Coturnix japonica: one gene and its partners. The protein of the gene in region 1 interacts with the protein of each later gene in a biochemical or structural test. Links are inferred from orthologs where the notes say so. Each region holds a gene or a part of one and is shown in the gene's direction. Other genes may lie near its edges. The genes, in order: DLG1, ARHGEF16, EVI5, SLC16A3, NET1, FRMPD4 and MTMR1.

Region 1 (4,083 bases):
CCCTTACTGCAGTGTATTGGTGAAAGGGCTGTTTGCATTCATAGGGTATTTTCTATACGTGCTGGAATTTCCAAACCATATTCTAAAGTTTCATACCATGAGCTCTGGTTCAACCACTCGGAATCAACAAATATCCCCTGGAACTGAAATAGCAGCACTAGGACCAGCCCCAATTGGAAGTGCATTAGGGCCCACCTAATTGCTTCCTGACTCACTGATCCTTCATCCTGACCCTTCTTTGATCTTTATTTTTTCCTTTTTCTGGTGCATGAGTGACAAGTGAGAAACGCCATCTGAGGGTGTTAGATGGGATTATTCCTCTATCCCCACAATGACCTTGCGTTATGGGATTCCATCTTAACACTGAAAAAGCATTCAAGTCCTGATTAAGAAGAACTTATTCAGTTCATTTAATTGCAAGTGTTTATTCATTTTTCGCTCTGTAATAAATGTTTTTGTCAGACAACAAACCAACCTCACTGCGTGGATATCTCCTTTCTGCTGGCTCAATCTGGGCTGCTCTTCTCCTCATGTACATGTACAACTCTGACACCACGGGGAATATGGACACTTTTAAAGTACGTTCAGTGTTGTTGTAAACACATGAAGCCAATGTCCATCCTCACTTAATATGGTCTCATTATAAGATATGTGGACTTGTACCAGAGAGTGCCAGATCCCTGATGCTACGGGAATTGGTAAAGTTCCCATAAATTGGTAAAACACACTGAATGCACGTTGTTTTCTTCACAGATCTACACGGGCTCTTCCATGGCAGAAAGCTGAGGGATGAACGGGGCTGGATCAGAGCAGAGCTCTGTGCTGGGTCCGTTTCCTTTAGGCGTGTTCCACAGCCGAACTCAGCGCTGGTTTTTGACTATCAAACCCACGTCCATTCCCAGGAGGTTCTTCCCTTCCACGGGGATGTTCCCAAGCCGAGTCTGTATCCGAAAAACCAACAGGAGATGCAGCCTGGGATGGGGAACGGCAGCAGCGGGATGGGCTCTGACTCCCAGCTCTGCCTGCGGGACACGCGATGTGCACGTGGGCTTTGAAGTGCTTTAGACATAGAAATAAGTGCATAGACATAGTGAGCAATAAGTTCATAGACATAGTGAGCAATAGGTGCTATGGACACAGTGAGCACTAAGCGCTATGGACACACTGAACCTCTCACCTTGCCTCCTCCCCCCGCCCCTCCGTTAGGTACCGGCCCCGGGCCGCTCCGTGCGCTGATTGGGCGGCAGCCGGGCCCGGTCACGTGGGAGAGGGGGGGTGCTCTCCCCCCAGCCTCCAGGCCGCCATTTTGGCTGGAAAGTTTGGAATTCCCGAGCGCTGAGCCGGGCGGTGGTTGTGCTGCTGCTGCTGGTTGTGGTGGCGGCTCGCCCTGCCCTGCCCGGCTACTATCAGCCGCCCCACCGCTGGTCCCGACCCGTCCCTCTCCTCGCTGAGCCGCCCCGGAGGGTCGCTGTGCGGGGCGGTCCCCCCCGCTCCCGGCCGGCAGGGGGTGCGCGCCGCCGCCGCCCCGAGCCGGGTCGGGCTCCAAGTTGAGGCGGCGGAGCGGCCATGCCCGTCAGGAAACAAGGTGAGCGGGGTCCCGGACAAAGGAGCCGCGTGGGGCGGTCCCGGGGGGTGGTCGTGGGGCACCGTGTCCCACCTGTGTAGTGCTCACAGAGTCTCGTGTTCGGCCGTAGATACGCAGCGCGCCCTGCGCCTCCTGCAGGAGTATCGCTCCAAACTGAGCCAGGCGGAGGATCGGCAGCTGCGGAACTCCATCGAGAGGGTCATCGGCATCTTCCAGAGCAACCTCTTCCAGGCGCTGATCGGTGAGCGATGCCCCTCCTCTAGGGTCGGGCTCTTGTGTGTTGGTGGTGAGGGGAAGCGAGTTGTTGTGTTGTCGGAGCCCTCGTGTCCCTCAGTGCTGTGTGTGTATCACGCTGACACGTTGCTGTTGCAATGAGCTGTTTTCTGTCACTTACTTTGTATGAGTTTTCTGCCCTGGCGCTGCAACGTGTCTGTTGTGGGCTGTGCCGTGCAGTCGGGTTTTCCACGTCTGTTTCTGTGGGTTTAAACAATTTATTAGGAATATGTTTTAGTTGTGAGCCCACGTGTCCACAATGAGTGAGCTGAAGTGGTTTTACTCTTAGAACTCGGGCAAATCTCCCTGCTGAAGGATCCCTAAAAATGCTGCAAGTTGTGTATTTCAGGAGCAGAATTAAAGTGAATGGAAGGAAACTTCTCATGTTGCAGGTGGCTGTGCTGACTTTTTCCTCTTCGGTTGTGAAGTGCAGTGAGAACCTCACTCATTCCCAGCTTCAGAGCACTTCTGGTGCTTTTTCTCTTTAGCCATTAATGTAAATATTGCTGAAATCATTCCGTGAAGCCTTGAATTTCCTGCACATCTCTTAGAAAACAAACAGAGCAAAATAAACACGTGGGGTATGAGCACAACTTGCAGAATCCTGACCTGACTTTGCAGCTTCTCCAGGGAGGCAGGGAGCTGTGGTTTCTTCCTGATTGGTTGTCACTGCGTATGTAACAGCTTGGAGTTTCATGCCCTTCCCTTTTAACAAAGTAACTTGCACATAAACTTTGTTTTAACATTGTAGACAGTCTGGGTTTCAGCTGTTACTTCGCAGTTACATGGTTTGAAGCCTATCTCACAAGTTTACATCTTCATAGTGCTGTGTCTTTGTGTTGTGGTGGAAACATGAGGAGGGTTGAAACATCGCTGCACATGAACTGCTTTCTCTTGGAGCATTTGTATCATCTGCAGGTGGGTTTTCAGAAGTTGGGCATCTTATGGAACATCTCCTGTATTATGTTCCTGATAGATGGTTGTTCAAATGGGTCTGTTCTCATAGGACACCTCTAGAAAGGGTTCACTTGCAGGAGCTCAGTTGATGCTCAGCAGCTCCGTGATGAGGATCTGCGCGCCTCTGTGTGATGTGTGTGAACAGACTTTGTTCTTTGCTGAATGAAATCATTGAAGTTGTGTATCGGAAGCTTAATACTGTGGTTATGCTTCTTATTTTCACCTGGGAAATCTCGCTCTTAGTTATTAATTGAATGAGATACAAGTCAGTAGTACGGAAATGGCCTTTGGTATTGTAACCTGTAAGACACACTTTATTCTAAAATCTGTAACAAGAGCCAGGTTGTCTGTGTAACTTAGCTCTTGGCAGTAGCACTCTTCAATTGGGGTTGCCACGTGCCTGCTGGAGGGCTTCATGCCTTGTTTTCTGATCTGTCAGAAGTTCTGTTGTAGCCGTGGGGTCTTTGATTCTGTCCGGTTCAGTTGATCTCAGCGTGCACAAATAGGTGTTGTGCTATTTGAGAGCATTTCACATTCATTTTGCATTTAGTGGTTAACTGTGTGATTGTATGTTAAGGAGCGTGCTTTAGTGCTCCAAGCTGTTCCTCTGAAATGTGATAGCAGAGAGTCACTTCCCAGCAATTGATGCTGTAACTTCAGTATTCTTCCTTTAACCTGCTCCATGGAAATGAGTTGGAGAAGTACTTGCTCATGGCAGGCTGCTCCTGGCAACATCTTTATACACTGGGACTACTGCTTGGTGCCCCCTGGGAGGGGGTCAGCTCCCTGCAGGGAGTAGGGGGCTGCCAGGAAAAGGTGCTGTGAGAGATGGCTGTGTTGGCTGAGAAGCCCTTGAGCACTAACTGCCCTCCTCCTACCTGTCCTCTTGCAGTGGAGGCTTGTGAACAGGCTGGACAAAGCTGTGCTGCTGGTTGGGCTTCCCTTGAATATTGCACTTGTAATTATCTTGTAGCTGATTTTTCAGGTGTGACTTTTATAGGAATTGTGCTGTGTCTCCAACTTAAACATCCACAGCTGCACTGACAGAAGCTTCCGTCCAAGCTCACATACTTTCCTTTAATTCCTTCAACAGATTTTAGTTCAGAAATCTTGCAAAATTGACCTGTTTCTTACATACAACAGTCTGCTTTAAAATGACTTGAATTAGGGCAGTGGCGACTCGGTGTGAGCAGTGTTACAAAATTGACGTTATCACATCAGTGTTATTTCTGTAAGTGAAATAACTGCAGTAATTTTAAGTCAGTAAC
Region 2 (4,206 bases), on another chromosome or scaffold:
ACGGATATAATGGAGTTGGGTTTTTTCCTTTAGGGCTGTATAGTGTTGTTTTGGGGTTTGTTTTTTTTTTAAGGAAAAAAAAATCAATTGTAAATGTCTGGTTTTCACATAATGTTTAAAAAACATTGAGAAAAGAGGATGGTGCTTGTTCCATATCATTCTTGATTGTATATTGCTTCTGTTATGTTTATAAGTAAACGGTGCATGACTTGTGTTTAGCGGTCATTATGGTGTCTGTCTGTGAGATTTTTATGAAAAGAGAAACAAATCCCGTAGATGCACTTATTGTATATGTGAGTAGATGGTTGAATCCGAGGCCAGAAGCCTCCAACTGCCCCGAAAGATGGACAGAAAGGAAAACGTTGGCAGTTCTTAATGGAGATGAAATGGTTTTGTTGGGCGCGCAATGAAACGAGAGGCAAAGTGTAGAAAATAATTTGAAGAGGTTTGTTTTTTTGGGTTTTTTTTTGCAGAGTTCCTTTTGATGCTTGTGATAAAAAGACAAAACGTACTCGTGTAGAGAAATTCCTTTGAAATAATGCCTAGGAAAAAGCTGATTTTGAGGTTAATGCTGTAGAATAGGAATGTATACCAAATGTAATCTTTCCAATGCTACGATGAATTTATACATGAGATTGATATGCAATAAACCTGTGTGCTTTTATAAGCCGTGGTCCCGTGAGCTTTGTTTCGGCGTGAGATCGGTGGATGCTTTGCTGCAAGGTAAGGAAGGATGGGGCTGAGCACAGCGGGGCTTTGGGGCCAATGGTGTGTGCTGCCAAGCTGATTTCATGCTCTCTGCTTCAGGAGGTCGGCGTGATGGCTGGAGGATGGATCACATTCAGTGCTTCGTGGGATGGTTTGGGGCTCAGCCGAGTGCAGCAGCTTCGTGGCTCTTGGAACTGGAGGAGCATCCATCGGGTAAGGGAGTGCTGATAATGGGCTGATTGTCGGGCAGGGTTTGGGGAGGGGGATGGAGCTGTTACAGGGCACCGCTGACAAGTGGGACTTTGTCATCCAGCGAGCACTTGAGATCCGCCATAAAGCAGGGAGAAAAAGGCTCCTTTTTAATGGGGAACAGAATCAGAGCGGGGGCAAAAGGGGGAGGTCAGGGGAAAGGTGGTTCCCAGGACATTTGATAGCACAGATCTGATAGAGGGGACACCAGGGGACACCCCCAGCCCCAGGGGGGCACCGGGGCAGCTCCCATCAACACGGGCTGGGCCCGGCTGCACACCCGAGGCTGCTCGGCTGCCTTGAAGAGCAATAGGGGGGAGGGAACAGCTGACCCTGATGTCTTTTTAAATCGAATTTACATCTCTTTTCGGCTCGTCCATCATCACCCCGACCCGACACAGACGGACACGGGGACAACAGCTGGAGGTGAGCTGAGCTCTTGCCCCCGCCCCCTCCGTGGGGTGACCCCGCCCCCTCTATATGGCCATGCCCCCTTTATGGCCCAGCCCCTCTCCTCCCTCGCTCCGGGGCCCCGGTAGGTGCGGGGCTGCGGCCGGGGTGGGCACGGGGACCCCCGGGGGGGAAGCAGGACCGAAATTAAGCTCAGAACCGGGACCGGCCTTAACCCTCGGGGCGGAGCGGTCCCCTCCAGCCTCAGCCCTGCGGCCCCTTTACCCCCGGCCCCACCCGGAGGAATTCCCGTCCCGTCCCGCAGCTCCGTCCGCCCCGCACACGGGGGTGGATCCGTCGGGGGTTCCCAGCACCGCCTGCAGCTGCGAAACAGCCGAGGTATGGGGCGGGGAGGGGCTCCATGGGGTGCACCTGGGGGGCTCTTTTCAAATCCTTCCGGGTCCTTTGATGGGGATGGGGCTGTGTCTGCAGTTTAGGGAGGGGGAAAGGAGGAACCGTCTGACCCCCCCCTGCCCTTAACGCAGGGAAATAGAAGCGCCCCGGATCATTGGGGCTTTTGTCGATGCGCTGCTTTGTCCCTGTGCCAGGAGATGGGTCCCGGTCCGGGCTGTGCTCTGCTCCCCGTGGCCTTTGGAAGGGAGCAGCTCAGACGTGGTGGACAATGGGATCTCAGTTTGTAGTAATTAAAGCCGAGTTTTAATTCGAGTTATGCAATAGAGCAGCAGAATGATGTATGTGGTGTTTATCCAGGGGGGGCTCAGGGTGCTGTGTGGCTCAGAAGGGGGTGGGCAAGCTTAGCTCCTAACAAGGAGCAATGGAGCCGAGAGCTGGAGGGGCTCTGGGGACACCCAGAGGGAGCTGAGGCTGAGCACCCATCGGCCGGTCTGCCCCCGGGCTTTGGGGTCTGTCAGGATCAGTGCCCAATAGAGCCGTGTGGGGTCCCCAGCAGTACAGTGATGGTCAGTGTGGGCTCCTCCAGGCTCCCACCCAGCGCTGTGAGCTGTGCCATGCCTGTACCCTCAGCCTTAGCAGGGGAAAGTGCTCATTCCCTGTCCATCCATCTGACTGTCTGTCTCTTGCACAGCTCTCCGCTCCCTGCACCGCTGCCATGTCCCACAGCCCACCAGCTGATGACCAGACCTTCCTCCTGGAGTATCGCTGCCACCCGCTGCGCTCCGGACCCCCAGCACCAACCTCTCCTCCAGGCAAGCGCAATCCTGACCCCACCATGGGCTGCTTCCCCCTGGCTGAGCCACGTCGCATCGTGCTGAGCACCGACAGCCCGGCTGCGCTGAAGGTGGGCACACAGCAGCTCATCCCACGGAGCCTGGCGGTCTCCACCAAGACCAAGAACCCCACGCGGAACCCCAGCACTGGATCCAGCCCTGAAGCTGCGTGCTCAGGGCAGAAGAGAGCATCTGTCCCCAGCATCACACTGCAGGAGGACACGGAGGATGGAGGAGGGATGTTAAAACGCAACCTGAGGAACATGTCGTACCGTGCAGCCATGAAGGGCACAGGAATGGAGATGGAGCCTGTGAGCACCGTCCCCACACTGAAACCATTGGCGGAGGAGGGGAGCGCTCCTCCTGCCCGCAGCCCTGGCAGGAGCAAGGTGGGTTTGGTGCAGGGATGGAGCCTGGTGGGGATGGGGACAGGGTGGGCTGAGCTGCATCTTTTGCTCTGCACCTGGTGGGGCTGGCTGAGCCTGGTGAGCCAAGCCTGGGAGTCTGCCTGTCACCAGCAGCCTCTTAGGTCCACAGAAGGTATGGAATATGGGCTGGCTCCTGCGGGTAGTGCGTGGGTGTGGGCAAAGCAGCACTGCCAGCACCCAGGCGCCGGGCAGGCAAAGTCCAGGTGTGGGGCAGACAGATGGGAACAGCAGCGAGCAGTGGCAAAGCTTGCTGAGATGGTCACCCCGATAACACTGGGGTTAGGCTGGAGCTGAGTCACTGCTGGGGGAGCAGGGCACTGTGTGCAGGCTGCAACCCTTCTCAAGGGAACTGAATGCAGCTGCTGGCACTGGGACTCATGGTGTGAGCTCTGCAGCACAGTGGCAGCTCCTCTTCTTCCTCCTGCAGAAATCCCTCGGCCGGAAGCGGGTGCAGAAGCACGGAGGCTCATTCAAGGACCGTGAGTGCTGCATGTCCTCACCCCATGGCCCCCCCTCTGTGCTGTCATGTATTCTCCCTTTTCCAGTCCCTTTGCTGCACGTGTGCCCCTGCACTCCTGCTTGCTGGGGAGGGCGCAGCCGTACTTGTAGCTTGCAATTTGGCTCTGTTTGCTCAGAGCAAACACTGCTGGGGACGTGCAAGCTGCTGCTTGACCAGTGCTGTGCAAAGTCCGTCCCAGCAGGGCGAGGCGGGTTGCAGGAGGCTGTGCTCACTCTGCACCTCTCCCCACGCAGAGCCACGGCTGTACCAGGAAATCCGGGAGCGAGGGCTGAACTCCGTCAGCCATGAGTCGGACGAGGATTTGCTGGAGGAGCCTTTCCCCGAGGAGCCGTCCCTGCCCGGTGCTGCCATCGTGGTGCGGAGCTATCGACCCGCACAGGTCACCTGGAGCCAGCTCCCAGAGGTACTGTGTGCCAACATCCTTCTTTCCTATCTCTTCTGCTCTGTCTGAGAGGGCCAGGCTGTACCTGCAGCAAACTCCGTGTTGTTAATGATTATACCTTTGCTTATCCATCCTTGCAAGTAGCCCTCATGGCACACGCAGGTGCCTTGCTCATTGAAAGGAAACAGAAAGCAGCGTGTGTTTTTAAAGGCAGAAATGCCACCCATCTTGCAGCACTGTGCTGTGGGATGCTTTGGGGCCAGCTGGGACATGCTGGGCTCC
Region 3 (3,918 bases), on another chromosome or scaffold:
GGTCTGAGTAACAGATGGAGTAAGAACAGTCCCATAATGTGCTGGTTGTGCCTTTGTCCATACACTGTACTGTGCTGTTAACCTTGCTCACTGCTTGGAGATATTGCTCTCTCCAAGCCTATCGTGTATCAGGACTCCCCACATCATCAGTTAGTTTTGTCCTCGTAATACAAATTCTGTGATACAGTGTTTTTGTATTTCACTGTGCACCTCATTTCTCAAGTGGACAAATGTTGCAGGACTATATGACCATGCATGGTCTTGTCACACATTCTCTCCAGTATGTTCATGTTTCTTCCTAGCAATCTAATTCCTTTTGAACGTGAGTAGTTAAAAAAGAAGGCAGGCAAGTGTGAAGCTGCAGGCTAAAAGAAGTGTTTCTTGAAGGCAACAGATTGTTGTCCTTTTGTTACTTTAATGAAAGAATAACCTGTTAGTTTTCCCACACTCTTTAGGATTTTGCATAGCCAATGTTATCACTTTCTCCTTATCGACAGCCTTTTTCTTAGGCTTATACTTGGTGTTTGGAAAAGCTGCTGCTTGAGACTGCCAAGCCATGATTTTTGTCATGTTTCCTAAATGTGCTCATCCAAAGGTATCACATGCTGAAGCTTTCAGGAAAACATTCGAGGTCACCAGCTTAGCTCTTAGCTCAGCTGACACTGAGTATCACCTTTACAGTTCAGATGAACTGATGGTGTAAGTGTGCAGACATGGAAGCGTTCATTTCTTTCACACTGACATGTGAAATCTGCTCTTTTGAGCCTTTGGTCATGCTGGACAGGAGCTGTAGGGCTGTTCTGTTTTTTCGGGGTAAGTTTTTTTTTAGTGAATAAAACTGATTGGTGTTCTGGAAATACCATGTGGCAGCTGATTGTATTGCAAGATATTTTTAGGGACGATATTTCTAACTAATGCAAGAATCTCTGTATCCAGGTATGTAAAGTAGTAACTTGCTTGTTCCTGACAATCGTTGCTGTCTGATACACATGATATAAGGAGATCCCTCATCATGAGCTGTGCAGTGTGAAACTTGTTTCGCTTGTCTTTAAAGCAAGTTCCTCATGAAACAGCAGCAAATTAAGTGTAAGAACATGCCAATACTAGTTAGTATGTATAGCTGCATCCACGTTGTAGGTCTACAGCATGAACCTGTGTTCCTAAGAGGAACATTATAATAAACATTGAAGTGATCGGATACATGGAGCTTTTACATGCTGACTACATTTGATCTGCGGTTTCTAGAATGCTTGCGGTTCTTGCAATCTTTTATCCAAACATTTTTGTTTGTATCTCTTACATAAGCCCAAGGTGAATATAGAAATTCCTTCTTCCCCAAATGGATGGGTAAAATCTGTTACTGATATAAACAGCAAGAACCTACATTGTTATTTATCAAGCTGAATAGTGCTTCAAATTTCTGAAACATGGAATAGGTTTGTGACGTAAGTAGCTCCCCAGGTTTTTTCTCTCTACTTTCCAGATCTGGTACTGTTAAGATTTGCTTACAAAACAGCACTTAATGCATCTTCCTTTTGAAGCTGACAGGAGTGACGTTAGGAACTTCCTGTAATGCATTTCAGTGTCTTTCTCATTCCTTAGAATTCTTAGCATAGTACTTCCCAGTTGTCAGACTGAGTCTGAGGAAATTGTTACTAAAAGGTAGGACGAGTTTATTTCTAAAGAATAACTATCAGGGGGAGTCTTCAGGGAGCTGTGGCTGTTCTGACTTAATGAACAGGAGAATTGCTACAGCTTCAGGTTTTACAAAGCACTGTCCAAATGAGTTGTCCATTCTAGAAAACCAGCAGTCCCCCATTCTCATGGGGGTGCTAAAGATGCAGTGTGTAGCATCGAGAAATCTGTCATTTGTGATTCTAGGTACCTTGATTATTAAGCTTTAAAACTGGAGAGGTCTGGGTGTGTGAGAATAGTTAAAGTATTCCTTCAAGTTCTCTGGACAGCCAGAAATGAGAAGTCCTTTGGTTCTGCTTCCAAAAGTGACTAGGAAATATCGTGATTCTAACATCTAATATAATTTGTTGAGGAGAGATTATTGGAAATGGTGAGTGGTCTGTTTTGATTTTGATGCTGGACTCTTCAGCTCCGATTAGTTTAAATCCCACTTGTTTGTTTGTTTCCTTGTAACAGATCAAATGCTTAAAAGGACAGAGAGACTTCTCAGACCAACCCACTTTTGATGGGATTCACATTGTCAACCATTTCACAGGAGATGACGAGTCATTTCATTCTTCTGATGAAGATTTTATAGCTAACTCCATACAGGAGAGTGGGGTAGGCTTTCACTTACACAGGAGGACTGGTCAGATGGCTTTGGATCACACAGTTGTAGACAGCAGTGACAGTGAGACTGAAGAAAGCACACTCCAGACTGGAACCTTGGACAAGGTGGTTTCCAAACAGAGGAGAATGGAATCTTACTCTACTACCGTGTGATGATCACTGTGAGTAGCGCCTGAAGACTCTTGTGTTTCTTTAAGGATTACGTTGTCAGATAATTGAAGGCATCCAGCAGTTGGGTTAGGTAACTATTGGATCTGTTGTGGCCTGTGATGCATACACACATGTACTGTCCATCTGCCTTCTCTTTGCCAAATCTTGCTAGTGACGTACCATTGCTGTGAAACAGGCTGGGAAGAAGTTAATGGAAGACAGTTCTGACAGTATTACTGAATGTTCCTTGTTTTACAAACTGCAAATATATAATTTCTTTAAATGTGCAAGAAACCTTTTTGCTGTTCACAAGGATGGGAATTATTTTCCTCAAAAGAAATCGCTCTAGTGCAATATTTTATGCTCTGAACAAATGTGTATGTTTTACATCATTACCCATTTGTGATAAAGATGGACTCTAACCATCTGATCATATGGCACATATATATATTATGCTTCTCAACTACTTCTGTTTTATTAAAGTTACCAAATGCCCACAGAAGGCTTGAAAGAGGAGCCCTCATCTATACTACTTCCTATATACAAGTACTGGTCACTAATGTCATAAAGGTGTTTTTCACCCTTTTCACTTTAGATTTATGTGCATCTGCTTTTGATGTTGCTAAATAATACTTGGTCTGAATATATTAACTACAATAATGTTTATTTTGTACATATTTATATAACTGCACCAAGCTGAAAATGTATATTATACCATTTTATACGAGGAATGTAAATGTTGCGATATGACTGTCTCATGTTCTCCCTGGAAAATGAATTCTGTACATGCACACTAGAGATGAATTGCTGAATAAAAGCAAAACACTAACTTGATATTTAGTTTTGGTCTAGCTACGCTAACAGATTCCTGTCTAACTGAAATGCTTGTTCAAAACACTATTGACTGAAATCTTCTACCTTCATATATATGTAATGAAAATAAATTTTTCACAATTTAACAAGGTTGCAGCTTTTACTGTCCAGTCACTTGTGAGCTACAGCCCTCAGTTACCCCCTGGTAGTTTGAATAAGGTGAAAATGATTTGTGTATTCCAGCTAACAATTCTAATGAAGGCATCGGTGCAGTGAAAGTATCTCAGTTAAATTTTCTTGCAGTTCTGTATCGCTGTTATCTGAGAATTAGTACAGATCCTGTCACCAGAATAGCCATCGTTAGCACGTTTTGAGAGAGGGCGAATAATGGAGGATAACGCAGATCTCCTGGGCCAGTCCTGGGGGCTAAAAACCACCAGCACCGAGCTGTAATAACGAGGTTAGTGCAGACTGTGTGGAAATCCCAGTGTCTGGTTTAACTGCACCAGCTACTGAGTGTGTGTGTGTGTGTGTTGAGATGGAACGGAAGAGTTATGTATGGTGGATTTCTGGATTTAACTGTTCTGTTTTGTTCTATAAAATACTCTTAACAGTATAATTACGTTGATTAAATTCTCTGGGGATTTTTTT
Region 4 (3,496 bases), on another chromosome or scaffold:
CGGCGGGCGATGCGCTCCCTGCCGGGCGGACTGGCAGCACCGCACGTAGCGGGCAATGCTCGGTCCCAGCCCATCCACCGTCATAAGGGAGAACAAACCATCCTGAAACGGGAACAGGTCACTGTGTTACAGACCTTCAGGCTTTGATCTACCAGCCCCAAACTTGTGATAGTGCATCTCATTATATTGCTATGGCTGTCAGCACGTCGGCCACCTGTGGTGCCATTCACCTGCACTCAGGTAAGGCTATTAACAGTCATACATTCAGTGCTCACTTTTCTACACAAGAAGCCTGTGCCAACCAGGCTGGTCCTGAAATAAAGCTGTAAAATGGCTTTGTTCCTGGTGACCTGCAGTTCCCAAAGCATTCTGTAGTAACAAACACCCTAATCAATTGCACTTTAATGATCAAATTGGATACACCTAAGCTTTTATGCTTGTTTGGGCCAGGACTTGTGATCCATGTACCAGGATTTCACATCCAGGTGTCTTGAGTAGACCAAGATCTTCCTCTACCAATGTCTTGTAACAAAAACTAGATGTTTCCTTCTAAAATAGTCTGTAACTTCAGCTGTAGCAACGTTCTGCCTTTTTGGGATAGATAATTGTCCCAACAGGTAACAACTCATTTTTCTTATTTCTTAGGGAACCCTCTTGATCTGCATCATGGGAGCAGTGGTAGTTGATGATGGTCCGTCTGGTGTTAAAGCTCCCGATGGAGGCTGGGGCTGGGCTGTCCTTTTTGGCTGTTTTATCATCACGGGATTCTCCTATGCCTTTCCAAAGGCGGTCAGTGTCTTTTTCAAAGAACTCATCCGGGAATTTGGCATTGGATACAGTGACACCGCGTGGATCTCCTCCATTCTGTTGGCCATGCTTTATGGAACAGGTTGGTTGATTGGTTTTGAACATCATACAGTGTTGCCTGTAAATCATACTGACATTTAGTGTGAATTATGGTTCTTATTATTGCTCTTGTACTAGTAAAGCATTCAAAAAATAATCGTTTATGCACGTAAATCCAATAATTAATTAAGTACATACAATTTGCATATAAAATTAAACCTCTGTAACTCAGTAGATGCTAACGATGATGAAAAAGTGCATGGTAGTACAAAGGAATGGAATATCTGACTCCAGAAGAAAGAACATTGTCCTGATAGCATAGGCAGAGTGTGGAAAGAAATGTGAGCTAACATGAAACCATTGGTAAAAACTGGTTTAGCTTTGCAACTGTAACTTACTCTCTTTGCCTAGGTCCGCTCTGTAGCGTGTGCGTCAATCGCTTTGGCTGTCGCCCGGTCATGCTGGTAGGTGGCCTTTTTGCCTCCATGGGGATGGTGATAGCCTCCTTCTGCACGAGCATCGTTCAGATCTACCTCACCGCAGGGGTGATCACCGGTAAGCAGCACACGTGGCTGGAACGGGCTCAGCCTATGTCCTGGCAGCAGGCTGATGTTTCATACTACCAATGTATCTCAACGATCATGATCATCTTAACAGGTTTTTATTAAGATAGTGGATAAAATGGTGTTCTCTTACACCTGTTACCATGGAACTCTTCTGTCCATCTGCAGTAAAACTAATCTTAAGTCATCAATCAGAACAAATGCAATTGATTCTTTCTTTTTTTTAATAGCACTACGGGAGGCCTGGATTAACTTCTTGTCCCTTCTGTCGCAGGTTTGGGTCTGGCACTCAACTTTCAGCCTTCGCTCATCATGTTAAACCGTTACTTTGACAAACGCCGACCCTTGGCCAACGGGTTGTCTGCTGCTGGGAGCCCAGTGTTCCTTTGCGCCCTTTCACCGCTGGGGCAGATACTACAACACGAGTATGGCTGGAGAGGAGGATTCCTTATACTGGGTGGGATGCTGCTCAACTGTTGTGTTTGTGGAGCATTAATGAGACCTCTGGAGCCACCCAAAAAATCTGAAGCTACCAAAGAATCTTCTGAGAAGAAGGCAAAGAAAAAACTCCTGGATTTCAGCGTGTTTAAAGATGGTGGTTTTGTGATCTACACGCTAGCGGCATCTATCATGGTGCTTGGCCTCTTCGTTCCCCCAGTTTTTGTTGTGAGTTATGCCAAGGATTTAGGGAATCATGACACCAAAGCAGCTTTTCTTCTGACGATTCTGGGATTTATTGATATCTTTGCTCGTCCAATTTGTGGAATGGTAGCTGGTCTCAAGTGGGTTAGACCGCGCTGTGTCTACCTCTTCAGTTTTGCTATGATTTTTAATGGCTTTACAGATCTCATGGGCTCCATGTCTGTTGATTACAGTGGCCTGGTGGTCTTCTGCATTTTCTTTGGCATTTCTTATGGAATGGTAGGTGCTCTTCAGTTTGAAGTTCTCATGGCTATTGTTGGCACTCAGAAGTTTTCCAGTGCTATCGGCTTGGTGCTCCTGGCAGAAGCAATGGCAGTTCTCATCGGTCCACCATCAGCAGGTCAGTATTCCACGTAGTTGAGAATTCAAACCCATTGACATTGCAGGGAGGAAAAGAGCACAACTCACTCACAGTGTACACGCTGTCCTTGTGTTGTACGTATTTACACGACTTTGTGCAGTTAGAACAAGAAATAGCCCCAAACAGGGAAGGATGTTTTGTCCTTCTTGTATCTGTTTCCAAGGACTGGTTGAGCTGCCATTTGGAGGTGCTGCTCTTTTTGCAGTGAAAGCCTGAAGTGCATATCCTGTTAAATGGCATCGTGTGGGTTTCCATGCACAGGAAATGTGATCAAATTCAGACCTCTTTGGAGCTGGAGTTCAGAATGAATCCCATCAGTTTTATTTTGAAGGGAGTAGGACAGATTCTCTGTACCTGTGGTAGGTTTGAAGGATGAAAGAAAAATTCAGAAGAGGAGGGGAAAAAAACAAGAAGGGCTTTAAAGCATCAGGATTGTTCCAGGGAAGGCAGACTGATTGCACTGCACACGTCTTGTAACCCCAAAGCATGGCAACACTGCAAAACATTCAAATTCCTGAATTCATAAGGGCAATTTCATTCACAAAGTGCATAAATCTAACGGGCTGCACCAAAGAAACCCAACAAACAACCCTACGGGTTGAAGTACGCAGCAGTTGCCTCATCTCTTGCATCTGAAGGGAATGCTTTTTCTTCAGTTGAGCTGTCAGTGTGTGCAGGTGTGGATGTGTTCTAGGATGTGAAGCACTTTCAGTCAGTGCTAAGCTGAAGTGGAATCATGGAAATACCTTGTTGTAAACTTATTTACCTGCACTATTGTCTTTTTCAGGAAAGCTCTTGGATCTAACACGGAGGTACATGTTTGTCTTTATTATTGCTGGAATTGAAGTTACCACCTCAGCGCTGGTATTGGCCTTGGGAAATTTCTTCTGCATTAAGAAAAAAACAGAAGAACCACACACAAAAGAAGCAGCAGCAGAAAGAGAAGAATTAAACAAATCGGAAGACAAAACTCCCGAGGATGCCAAGGTGGACTCTATTGAGGTGGAGCAGTTCCTAAAAGATG
Region 5 (4,038 bases), on another chromosome or scaffold:
CTTCTGAATCAAGTTGCAGATCCCACTTCAAAAGTTTGGGTTTGTATTTTAGTACTCCTGAAGAATCCATTTCTGATTCCTGACTAAAAAACAGCCAATACCTGGCACGTATGTGGGGTTTTTAATGGGTTTCAAAGCATTTTGTCTAACAGCTGCACAGAAGTTGAGACCAACCTGCACCTGGAATAAAGATGATAAACTGCAAAAGGTGGTTCCAGCACAGTATTCTGGGGTGCCAGCATTGTTAAAGGGAGATTTCTTGGCCAAAATTTTCTGGTCCAAAGGCATTCCAAAGGAGATCATTCCAGTTTTTAAGTGAAGATAAACCATTACCTCTCTGTCTCTTCGGGGACCCTTTGGGGTTGCTACTCCAGGACAGACTCTTCCTCCCTATTAACAGCCACTTTTCACAGAGGGAAAGGGCTGAAAATGGAGGAAAAAATGAGATTTCACCCAAGGAGGACACACTTTCCCATTCAAGCACCTTGCTCAAAACACCACTTAAGTTGAATTGGGGCTGGTGGGAGCTCACAGGTGCATAATAGCTTTCCCAAGGCAGAATCTATGGGGGTTTGTAGCCAAGACATCTGCTTTTTTCCATCACCATCACAATTTAAGACCCCATTTAAAACAGTTTACACATCAGCTTCACGCTGGGACACTGCAGGCTTCACCATAAGGCCGCAGATCTCACTCTTGCTGGGGTACATCCCACATTTAAACCACTTCTGTGTCCATTTTGAGGCAGTCTGGGGTATATTTTTAACACACAAGCCTATTTCTGAGGCGTATTTTTAATATTCCAGCCCACTTCTTAGAGGTGCATTTTCAAGCTTCAAGAGGGACACGTGTTTTTCCTCTATTCATCAGGTGATTTCAGGCTTTGGGGGTTGACATTGCTACCCTCCTCGAGGCCGTGAGGCGTTGGGGTTGACATTGCTACCCTCCTCGAGGCCTTGAGGTGTTGGATATGAGTTTTCTGAGGAGAAAAGATGAGAATTGAGGAAGATGAAGGGGTTGGAGGAAAAATGGCTTCCGTGCCTCAGTTTCCCCCATTCCTAGGTCCTCCAAGCCTGCAGTTACAGCAGCAGGACACAAGGGGGCGCTGTGGTCAACGGCGGCGACACTCCTCCCCCCCTCGCTCGTCTCCTAGCAACTCACCCCACCCTCCTCTCTGATTGGCTGCCTCCCCTCACCGCCGCCATTTTCAAACCGCCGGTTCGCCGCCTCAGTTGTTTTTCGCCGCCGCCATTTTGTGCGGTGCCGTCCGGTTTCCCCCCCCGTTCCTCAGCCTGATTCTTCACCATGGAAGCCGAGCCCGTGGCTCAGAAGCCCCCTCGGCGGAAAAGAGGGAGGGTTAGTGCTGGAACAAGCGCCAGCCGCTCGCCCCCGGCGGACAGCAGCCGGTAGGAGCCGCCGTGTCTCCCCGTCTTTCTGTCAGGGGCTGAGGCCTGTGGTTCTCCCTTTATGTGTGTATATAGTGAGGAGGGGATCTATTCCCGTCTTCCTGGCATATAAAGGGGACGTTTCCCCTTTTTTCCTCAGCCTTTATGGTGCTTTAAACATCCTTAAAGGGGCCCTTCACCCTTGTGTCTAATGGGGGGAGCTCCCTTGTGTCTAATGGGGGGAGCTCCCTTGTGTCTAATGGGGGGAGTTCCCTTCTGTCTAATGGGGCAGTTCCCTTGAGTCTAATGGGGGGAGCTCCCTTGTGTCTAATGGGGGGGGAGCTCCCTTGTGTCTAAGGGGGGCAGCTCCCTTGTGTCTAATGGGGGCAGCTCCCTTGTGTCTAATGGGGGCAGCTCCCTTGTGTCTGACGGGGGGCAGCTCCCTTGTGTCTGACGGGGGGCAGCTCCCTTGTGTCTGATGGGGGCAGCTCCCTTGTGTCTGATGGGGGCAGCTCCCTTGTGTCTGATGGGGGCAGCTCCCTTGTGTCTGATGGGGGCAGCTCCCTTGTGTCTGACGGGGGGCAGCTCCCTTGTGTCTGACGGGGGGGCATAGCTCCTGTGTCTGCGACGGGGGGCAAGCTTCCTCGGGGGGCAGCTCCCCTTGTGTCTGACCGGGGGGCAGCTCCCTTGTGTCCTGACGGGGCGCCTCGGGCAGCTCCCTTGTGTCTGACGGGGGGCAGCTCCCTTGTGGTCTGACGGGGGGCAGCTCCTCTGTGTCTGGACGGGGCGGCAGCTCCCTTGTGTCCTGACGGGGGGCCAGCTCCCTTCGCTGTCTGACGGGGGGCAGCTCCTTTGTCCTGACCGGGGGGCAAGCTCCCTTGGTGTCTGACGGGGCGGCAGCTCGCCTTGTGTCTGAACGGGGCGGCAGCTTCCTTCGTGTCTGACGGGGGGCAGCTCCCTTGTGTCTGACGGGGGGCAGCTCCCTTGTGTCTGACGGGGGCAGCTCCCTTGTGTCTGACGGGGGCAGCTCCCTTGTGTCTGACGGGGGCAGCTCCCTTGTGTCGACTGGGGGGCAGCTCCCTTGTGTCGACTGGGGGGCAGCTCCCTTGTGTCGACTGGGGGGCAGCTCCCTTGTGTCTAATGGGGGGCAGCTCCCTTGTGTCTAATGGGGGGCAGCTCCCTTGTGTCTGACGGGGGCAGCTCCCTTGTGTCTAATGGCTTTACGGGACCCCTCACACCATATAAAGTGGGTGCGTTGCTCTATGCTTCCCTGCTTTATAAGGTGGATGTGTCTGTGGTTCCTGAGTGTCTTTAATGCTCATAGGGTGCCCCAGTGTTATATTGTATGCTATGTGTATGGGAGGGGGGTGTTTCTCAGGCTATCACATGTTTTCCTGCCTGTTTCTGTCCCGTAATAGGGATATTTGGTCCCATTTCAGGTCTCCAACTGGTTTCTGTGCAAGTGTGAGATGCTTGCAGTCCCTATTTGGCTCGGAGAAGAAATAGAGGGTCTTTGCTCCTCAGGGTGGTTGTTGGTGCAATGTGGGGATTGATTTCTCTTTTCACACTGTTTCCCTGTACCTCTTTGTCACCCATTTTAGGTTCTGTATTCTACAAGGTTCTGGCTGGGTGTAATGTGTGGTTAAATAGAGTTTGGGGCTGCTCTGTGGGTTGAATTGGGCTGGGCTTAATCTCCCTCTGCCATCACCAGCTCAGCCAAGCTTCCAGGATCTCCTCCAGTCATAACACTAGATCAACTCTGTTAAGTATGGAAGAGATCCAGTGTCAGCCTTGGCTTTTACTCTCGTTTTTAAATCCCTCTGTATACCATCTATTATTTTGATGTGCTTGGACTTGTGAGACCTTTCTTGAGACAGCCCTGTGAAACAAGACGTTATGTCTTAAGTTAACCCGTGGATGATCTTATCTGTGTTGACCCCTGATACATGGATGTGTTTATTGGCACTAGTTGACCCGAGTGACTCAACTCCCGTTGACTTTTATCAGGACAAACCCTGTTTGATCGGCTCAGGTTTGTATTTATTATTGCCCTCAGGGTCAGGAAATGACTCCTCCAACTTTGCAGGTGCTGTAAAAAGCAGATTTGGGTTCAAATAGATACAGGTTCAGGGTCTATGGACCTGTGATCTGGATCTTTTCCTCACTGCTCTGGTTCTTTGTGGACAGGACTGCAGTGAATGGTGGTGTTACAATGTTGGTTTTGATAATGGCTTTTTGTAACTGTTGAGTGTTTCATAAGGTGGGATGTTTCAATGAGCCTTAAAATACATATTTACATAGAAACATGCTGCAATATTGTCTTGATGATCAAACTGGAGCTTGTTGGTCTCCAGTCCCAGCCCTTAAAACTACAGACTTAGCTCAAATTGCTCAGAGCATTGGCCAGGTGAGATCAGAATCATCCAAAGACAAATCTCATTGCCTCTATATTTGAAGGTTTGACCACATGTATTGCGCAAAAGCATTTTTCTTTATATCTAATGGGATTTTTCCTTGCTGTGCCTCTTTCCATTCTGCTGTGTGCATACAATATATTTGGTTTCTTGCTTTCTCTACTTCTTTTCAGATAGCTAGAGCCATCTTTGCAGTCTCTCCCCATACAGAGGGAGCCCATTCTGTTTTTCTTCATTTA
Region 6 (3,500 bases), on another chromosome or scaffold:
TGCTTGTAATATTGTGCTAAACCCATAGCCTGCAGACCTTTTGAGTAAAAGCTGTTATCCTGTCTTTCTGATGGAGAAAGTAATGCAGAAATTAAATTATTCCCATCTTCTTGCATATAAAATGTGGTACTATATGCCATGGAATTTTATATTAACATGACTTTATATATATATATTATAATACTGTTGTTGTCTTATTGCAAACCATGGATATCCCCATCTAAATCCCCATGTCCTTGCCTTTCAACGCATGTGGTCTTAAACCCAGAGACATTCGTTTAACATCAAAATTACAAAGTTAGGAGGCCATGGATTGATATGACAAAACAAAACAAAAGAGTGTGGGGAAGTAGTATGGAATGTAACAGTTTCTTCTTGAGTAAATGTGGGCACACACAGCTACTCTCAACTGATGTTTTCGTACCTTAGCATATGCTAAGCTATCAGTTTCATATATCCAGATTCCAGTATACCAATAAATGTCATTTTCATAGCAAACATGCAGTTATGTTCTTTTATTTTTGATTCCTTGTAATGTCTTCTCAACCACAAATCACTTGGGAGAAGCAGCCAGTAAAAATCTAACTAACTGTCACAAGGCTGTTCTTCAGATTAACAGCAATGCACGACACTGTTTTCAGCAATCTGAGGCTTCTTTGGAGATTGTCTGTTTCTGTCAATCATTGCAGAAAAAAATGAGATTGATACTCGTAACATTTCAAGTAGTCACCCAAAAGGAAAAATATTAAGTAGCCTGCTGTAGGTTTAGTAATTTGCAAGTAATTTTACAGCTGTATTTGAATTCTTTTGAAAGACGCATGCATTGAATAGAACCTCATACTGTAGCATAGAATAATTTAAAGAAAACAAAATGCATTGTTTTTTCCTTGTTGCTGAAAACTGTTCATACAGCGGTTTTGAGACTGGTGGTAAGCTGTGAACATAAATTATGTTTTGGCCATTTCCTCCATCACAGTCAGTTGCCTTCAGGTTACAAAAGTCCATACAGCTGTATGAACTGTGTCACTGCTGTAATGGTTTGTCTGCTGTGTAACTTCTACCTGTGTGTCATGGATAGGATGTTGCAATTCCTATTTCCTCTGTGAGTTCAGGGAGATAGACACCTCAGAATGAGTTTGGTTTTAAAGTCTCCAGAAATGTAAACAAAAGTTTATTTTCTTTACTGTGGCAAAAGGAAAACAAATAAAAGACAGTTCTTAGAGATCTGTCTTTTATTTGCACAACCTCTGGACATCCTGTGCCACTGCTTCATCACCCACACGAAGTGCTGCCTGCTCTTCAGAGGGAACCTCCTCTGTTCCAGTTTCTGCCTGTTGCCTCTTGTCTTCGCTGGGTACTACTGAAAAGAGCTTGGCTCTGTCTTCTTTTCACCCTCCTTTTGAATATTTATCTACTTTTATAAGTTCCTCCCTTAAAATATTTGGTATTGCATGATGTTAGTAGTGAGGAAAATAAATTATTGTGTATTTTTCAGTGTGGTATTTGCAGTGTAATTTCCTTTAATTCTGTGCAGTAATATAGTCGGCGGGTAAACAGATTGAGAAGGAACAGCCTTAACCAAGACTTGGTTGTATTCTTCTCAGCCTATTACGCTACTGATGGAGTCATCAGATGCAATGAACCTTGCTTGCTTAACAGCTGGATACTATAGACTGCTGGTTGACTCAAGGCGCTCCATATTCAACATGGCCAACAAGAAAAATGCAGGGAACCGAGAAACAGGTATTCATTGCGCAGTGTGATAATGATGATCACAGATGTAGAGCAGAAGTCAGCTTAAGCCAGTACACTCCAGATAAATACAAATGCCAAATGAGAGGGTTGCTGCCTTAGACCTGGCACCACAGCGTACTCGTTCAGCTTTATGATGTTCTGATACTCAGCCTTTGATAGCATGAATTTCTTTCATAAGTGTAGTGAAACAGATGCATGCTACCTATGAACATTATTGTGTTGCATACGTATATCTTTATAAGAATACACCTGGTGTTGGGGAAACCAGCTGCGAATTTGGTTTTGTGTTCCTGCTCCTGGAATAGCATCTGTACCTAGCTGTGGTTTAGTTTTGCTCTAAGTTACAAAAGTAATAGTTAAACTTTGGGTCATTAAATCAACAGCTATTTATCTCAGAGCAAAAGCAAGCTTCAGAACACTTTTGTGAAGTGTTTGATGGCCTAGCTGTCCTGTTCAGAATGTTCATTGCTCAGTATTAGCAAGTTATTGTTTAACTAATTGTTGGGTTTTTTTTTCTCCCATGTGTCAGGAATTGAAAATAGAGGGAAGCATAACCTCCTTGCTTCTGAGTGGAACTGTGTACCAAAAACTACCACTTTCCTGGCTGAAGATCAAGAGACTCAAATGTCTTTTGGTGATCCTAAACAGAAGGCTATAGATGTTTCTGAAAGTCTGTTATGTCAAAAAGAACACAGACATCTGTACATAGAAAATACCTATAATTCAGGTGGATTTGATCAGCATCTGACCAAGCAAGACCCCACTGACACAGAAGAAAGTAGAAATTTTAATCAGCCTTCGCTACTGTCACTCTCAGGTTTGGAATCTAGCAAGAAAGCACAGGATTCTCCTAGGGGAGCAAAAGTTTCCTTTATATTTGGAGATCACAACTTGGATGGTATCAATCCCCAGACTCTTGGCTATGAAAGGCTTTTGGATGAAAGTCCAGAAGTACTAGAAAAACAAAGAGCCATTTATATTAATAATGCCAATGACATTAAAGGTCTGGAGTTGTCACCAGATGCTGAAAGCATTCAGTTTGCTACAAATGCTGTTTACGCAACCATAAGTGATGGTAAAATATTTGGAGCTGCAGAAGGGATAGAAGAGCCTTTGCTGCATGATATTTGTTATGCAGAAAACACGGATGATGCCGAAGATGAAGATGAAGTAAGCTGTGAAGAAGACATTATGGTAGGAGAAATCAATAGGCCTGCTCTTCTCAGCCTTTCTGGTTCTAATGATGACATTATTGATTTGACTTCACTTCCACCTCCAGAAGGTGATGATAATGAAGACGATTTCCTATTGCATACCTTAAACATGGCCATTGCTGCTCCTCCACCTGGCTTCAGGGACAGTTCAGATGAGGAAGACTCTCAGAATCAAGCAACACAGCCTAGAGACGACAAGGAGCAAGCCAGTAATCTAGGCAGTGATGACATTCCAGTGTCGCTTATCGATGCTGTCCCTACTAATACAGAGGGGAAGTGTGAGAAGGGGCTAGATGATGCTGTAGTCTCTACTCTTCAAGCACTAGAAGCTTTGGCTGCTTCAGAGGAACAGCAGACGAGTGACAATTCAGGTTCTTTCACGATAGTTACGTTTATTCATTGAAAATCATTCCATCTCATCCAATACTCCATTTTGGTTTTCCTTTTTTTTTTTTTTTTTTTTTTGGCCATCATTTTCCATACATCATATTCCATATTGTGTAATGGAACTGCTGTTAATGTTATTAAGCT
Region 7 (3,500 bases), on another chromosome or scaffold:
TGTGATTCTATGATTCTATGAAATTCTGACTTGAGAATTTTACATAGAGGAGGAAATTCCTGGTGGTAAATCTGCAGTATTACATTCTAGACTTCTGCAGATATTCACTCCTTTGGTGGAAATGAAGAAATGTTTTCATTTGTCCTAAAAATGTGTCTCCTAAGATGCTCGTTCTCATGGCAAGGGGGGAAATGCTGCTTATAACATTTTCTTCGAGTCATTAAAGTTTGTTTATTCTCTTAAATGTTCATCATTCCGTATCTGTGTTTTAAACCTTCTCATTCTGATGGAAAAGTTATTTTGACACATGAAGCAGTTGCCATATGTAGTCCTATCATGAATATGATTGAAGGACGTTTTCCATCTGAATAGATAGCAGCCCATACACTTCTATATTGATTTCTTCCCATCTGATTTTTGAAGTACTACGGATTAAGATGCATTCTGAGTAATCTGTGTGCTTTCAGATTTTCCATGTGTTTATTCTAGAGTGCGTCAGGTAACCTCTGCTTTTGAATGTAATGTGTGGTGGTATCAGAGGAATAACGCTTCTTTCAGTGTGGATATCCAGAATTTACTTTCTAATATAGAAAGAAGAGGGATTAAAAGATCACTGTATGTAGCCAATGCTAAACTTAAGGGGTGAGATGAAGAAAAATGGCATAACTTGGGTAAAAAGTATAAGAAACATTTAAAATATATCTGTGTTTATTATCCACCTCACTGCATGTTAGAACTGAAGCTCTTAAGCATCATAGAGGAATAAAGCTTATTCTGTTAGATAGGGCTCCTCACAATGAATTGCTTTGTGTCACCAGTTTCACACTAGCTAACATTTCTGTGCTTGCAACCCTGTGTACTTGCATGATGAATGTAAGGTTTGTCTCAGAAGACTATGAAGAAGCATGTAGGTGAAGTGTATTATTGCAATGGAAGTTAAGGAAACCTCTTACTTTTCCTGAAAATAATCACTAAATAAGAGGGGAAAAAAAATCTTATCTAAGTGTTTTGGCTATTTCTTATTTGTTTCTTCCTTTCCTGCTGCTTAAAATACAGCTTAAAATCTTTTTACCTTTTTTGTTGTTTTTATTTAAGTTTCCTGCAGCCTTTGAATTCAACGAGTTATTTTTGATCACCATTCTGGATCACCTTTATAGCTGTCTGTTTGGGACTTTCTTATGCAACTGTGAAAAGGAAAGGCTAAAAGAGGTAAATGATTGATGACATACGCATCCTAATTTGTTGGCTTTGTGTGGAAGTGCTTAGGACATACGGCCCAAAAAAACTTAAGCTGTGTTTTTGGATACAACTGCTGTGTAGTCTTTGAGGGCATGACGGACATGTAATTCCATGGAATACATCATGAATGCTTTTTTGTTTGTGGCACTTCACGTTTGCGTTAGAGCCAGTAGCAACACCTTGGCAGTTAGATCTGTTTATTTCAGGTTTGTCTCTGCTTCCGTAGAGGAAAAAGTTGCACACAGACACCACAAGGTGGAGCTGAATAACATATTCTCAGCAAATGCAGGCTTTCCCAACATCTTTCTTAATAAATTAGTCGTATGCAGTTCTCAATAAAGAAATGCAGTTTTGAGACATAGAGGTAGCAGAAGCACATGCTTAACCTCATTGTAGGGGTGTAAAATCACAAGATGAATGTAATTGAGATTCACGTTTTGAAACCTTGATTTTTCTTTTCAAGGCTAACTTATTTTTAAATCGTTTTGAAGTGGTCAACATATAATTGTAGATTTAAGGAGCTACAGACGTTGCAGTAAGTTACAACCAAGACAGCTTTCTCTTCCTCAACTAGAACTCGGTGTCTTTGAAAATGTTATACCTGAATCTCCCTTCTCATTTAGCCTTGGAAGGGAACAAGGTTTCAATGTTTTGCTGGAGTTTTAAGCCGGTTTAGTCATCAGCAGGTGTAATTACAGTCAGCTAATACAGGACAGTGTAATTACAGTCAGGTGACTTTCACAATGATACTGATAGCTAGATAATAACCTCACGTTTCAACATTTTGCAATCCATGTACTTATTTTTCTGTATTTTTTTTAATTCAGGAGTTAAGCACCAGGACTGTATCGCTGTGGTCCTACATAAACAGCCAGTTAGATGAATTCACAAATCCTTTCTATGTCAACTATGAGAACCACGTCCTGTATCCTGTTGCCAGTCTGAACCATTTGGAACTGTGGGTCAGCTACTACGTCAGATGGAACCCAAGGATGCGGCCTCAGGTACGAGGTTCTACTTTTATGTTTCCCTGAAAGTACAGAGGTATAATTACTGTTTTCTATAAGGTCCAATTCATCCAGGAAAAGTATTCTTGTCTGTTGCTGATGGGGGGAAGAAAGATGTTTTTTCTAAAACAAGGCTTGAGATAGATATTAAAACAGTGCAAGATGTTCAGTATTCATTAAGCCCACCAGTGGAATATAGTAGTAGTATCCCTTTACTGAATTGTGAAAGGTGACATAGGCATTCTTTCCTTTCAGAAGATTACTTTTACAACACTTATGTAATATTTTACAACACTTCCAGTGCATCTGTTGCATTAACCTTCTTGTGCAGTTTAGTGTAGCTTTGATTATGTTTTGCTGCTCAGCAATTATGTTATAAAACACAACAGCAGTTTCTTAAAGGAATTGTCTACATACCAACTCATTTGCGGACTCTTTAAGCTTTCTTACAGATATTTGTTTTTTCACTGACCTTTCTGTTTTCAGGCTGGCATGCTAAAGATTAAACGCTCCTGTAGTGTGTTCCTGGATTCATCCAGGATTTGTTCTTATAAGTAATGTCTCCTATTCAGACAAATCTCTAAGTCTCATCAGAAAAATGCTGTGTTTTATCTTCAGAATTCTGAGAGTGTACGTTATGTTTGTTTCACAGCCGTGATATATCTGAGGATGTTACTCTGTCTCTTTATTAAGGTAACATTTCAAGGTATCCCCAAGCGACTTAATGATAAATTACCTGCATTGAGTGACTGTTTGAAAGCTGCTTTCATCTTCTAACAGTTAGCAAGAGACACGAGTTTCAGATTTATTAGACACCCACAAGTCAGAGCCTGTTTAAAAAGATGTGTTTCAAGGACAGTACGCTGTTAGAGATCCAAGCATCTGAGCAATACCCTGTAAGGTACTGGAGAAATGTGGGTTGCTTGCTTGCTCACTGAGGTATTTCCTCTGAACTTCCCTGTTGCCCCACATTTTACTCTGTTTTCTTGATGTAGTCCTTTGTTAGGTATCCAGAAAATCTGAGGTTAAATGTGGGTGGGTTCTGTGGATTCCTTTTTATGCTAAACTCTGCTTCAACAAGGTCATTCTAATTCTTAAGTGAAGTGAAATGTTCCTCGGTTTTGGTTTGGCGGTGTTACATCATTATTGACTTCTTGTCCTAAGAAAATTAGATTTCAGTCCTGTTGTATTTGAATTCATTGACTGGGAGGAGGCATAGGTGGTTTTTTGTTTTTCCTTCTGGGTTTTTACTTA

The links.
Region 2: the proteins of DLG1 (region 1) and ARHGEF16 interact in a test that uses a peptide from one of them, tested with the Homo sapiens proteins (2 studies listed by IntAct, with this or other methods). The link is inferred for Coturnix japonica from reciprocal best matches to the Homo sapiens genes DLG1 and ARHGEF16.
Region 3: the proteins of DLG1 (region 1) and EVI5 interact in a test that uses a peptide from one of them, tested with the Homo sapiens proteins (2 studies listed by IntAct, with this or other methods). The link is inferred for Coturnix japonica from reciprocal best matches to the Homo sapiens genes DLG1 and EVI5.
Region 4: the proteins of DLG1 (region 1) and SLC16A3 interact in a test that uses a peptide from one of them, tested with the Homo sapiens proteins (2 studies listed by IntAct, with this or other methods). The link is inferred for Coturnix japonica from reciprocal best matches to the Homo sapiens genes DLG1 and SLC16A3.
Region 5: the proteins of DLG1 (region 1) and NET1 form a complex in vitro, tested with the Homo sapiens proteins (3 studies listed by BioGRID and IntAct, with this or other methods). The link is inferred for Coturnix japonica from reciprocal best matches to the Homo sapiens genes DLG1 and NET1.
Region 6: the proteins of DLG1 (region 1) and FRMPD4 interact in a test that uses a peptide from one of them, tested with the Homo sapiens proteins (2 studies listed by IntAct, with this or other methods). The link is inferred for Coturnix japonica from reciprocal best matches to the Homo sapiens genes DLG1 and FRMPD4.
Region 7: the proteins of DLG1 (region 1) and MTMR1 interact in a test that uses a peptide from one of them, tested with the Homo sapiens proteins (2 studies listed by IntAct, with this or other methods). The link is inferred for Coturnix japonica from reciprocal best matches to the Homo sapiens genes DLG1 and MTMR1.

The regions. Positions count from the first base shown.
Region 1 is NC_029524.1:10,829,498-10,833,580, reverse strand, and holds the start of DLG1 (disks large homolog 1), read left to right. Parts: upstream 1-1,283; 5' UTR 1,284-1,566; coding exon 1,567-1,585; intron 1,586-1,657; exon of another isoform or gene 1,658-1,694; coding exon 1,695-1,826; intron 1,827-4,083. UniProt on the Homo sapiens protein: Essential multidomain scaffolding protein required for normal development. Recruits channels, receptors and signaling molecules to discrete plasma membrane domains in polarized cells.
Region 2 is NC_029536.1:866,203-870,408, reverse strand, and holds the start of ARHGEF16 (rho guanine nucleotide exchange factor 16), read left to right. Parts: upstream 1-1,406; 5' UTR 1,407-1,437; coding exon 1,438-1,746; intron 1,747-2,452; coding exon 2,453-2,983; intron 2,984-3,449; coding exon 3,450-3,501; intron 3,502-3,775; coding exon 3,776-3,945; intron 3,946-4,206. UniProt on the Homo sapiens protein: Guanyl-nucleotide exchange factor of the RHOG GTPase stimulating the exchange of RHOG-associated GDP for GTP. May play a role in chemotactic cell migration by mediating the activation of RAC1 by EPHA2.
Region 3 is NC_029523.1:12,241,728-12,245,645, forward strand, and holds the end of EVI5 (ecotropic viral integration site 5 protein homolog), read left to right. Parts: intron 1-2,151; coding exon 2,152-2,457; 3' UTR 2,458-3,418; downstream 3,419-3,918. UniProt on the Homo sapiens protein: Functions as a regulator of cell cycle progression by stabilizing the FBXO5 protein and promoting cyclin-A accumulation during interphase. May play a role in cytokinesis.
Region 4 is NC_029533.1:4,252,907-4,256,402, reverse strand, and holds part of SLC16A3 (monocarboxylate transporter 4), read left to right. Parts: intron 1-9; exon of another isoform or gene 10-240; intron 241-645; 5' UTR 646-666; coding exon 667-889; intron 890-1,257; coding exon 1,258-1,401; intron 1,402-1,683; coding exon 1,684-2,451; intron 2,452-3,259; coding exon 3,260-3,496. UniProt on the Homo sapiens protein: Proton-dependent transporter of monocarboxylates such as L-lactate and pyruvate. Plays a predominant role in L-lactate efflux from highly glycolytic cells.
Region 5 is NC_029516.1:1,180,296-1,184,333, reverse strand, and holds the start of NET1 (neuroepithelial cell-transforming gene 1 protein), read left to right. Parts: upstream 1-1,238; 5' UTR 1,239-1,305; coding exon 1,306-1,406; intron 1,407-4,038. UniProt on the Homo sapiens protein: Acts as a guanine nucleotide exchange factor (GEF) for RhoA GTPase. May be involved in activation of the SAPK/JNK pathway Stimulates genotoxic stress-induced RHOB activity in breast cancer cells leading to their cell death.
Region 6 is NC_029516.1:111,279,105-111,282,604, reverse strand, and holds part of FRMPD4 (FERM and PDZ domain-containing protein 4), read left to right. Parts: intron 1-1,604; coding exon 1,605-1,743; intron 1,744-2,284; coding exon 2,285-3,340; intron 3,341-3,500. UniProt on the Homo sapiens protein: Positive regulator of dendritic spine morphogenesis and density. Required for the maintenance of excitatory synaptic transmission. Binds phosphatidylinositol 4,5-bisphosphate.
Region 7 is NC_029519.1:16,417,385-16,420,884, reverse strand, and holds part of MTMR1 (myotubularin-related protein 1), read left to right. Parts: intron 1-1,095; coding exon 1,096-1,209; intron 1,210-2,066; coding exon 2,067-2,243; intron 2,244-3,500. UniProt on the Homo sapiens protein: Lipid phosphatase that specifically dephosphorylates the D-3 position of phosphatidylinositol 3-phosphate, generating phosphatidylinositol. Could also dephosphorylate phosphatidylinositol 3,5-bisphosphate to produce phosphatidylinositol 5-phosphate.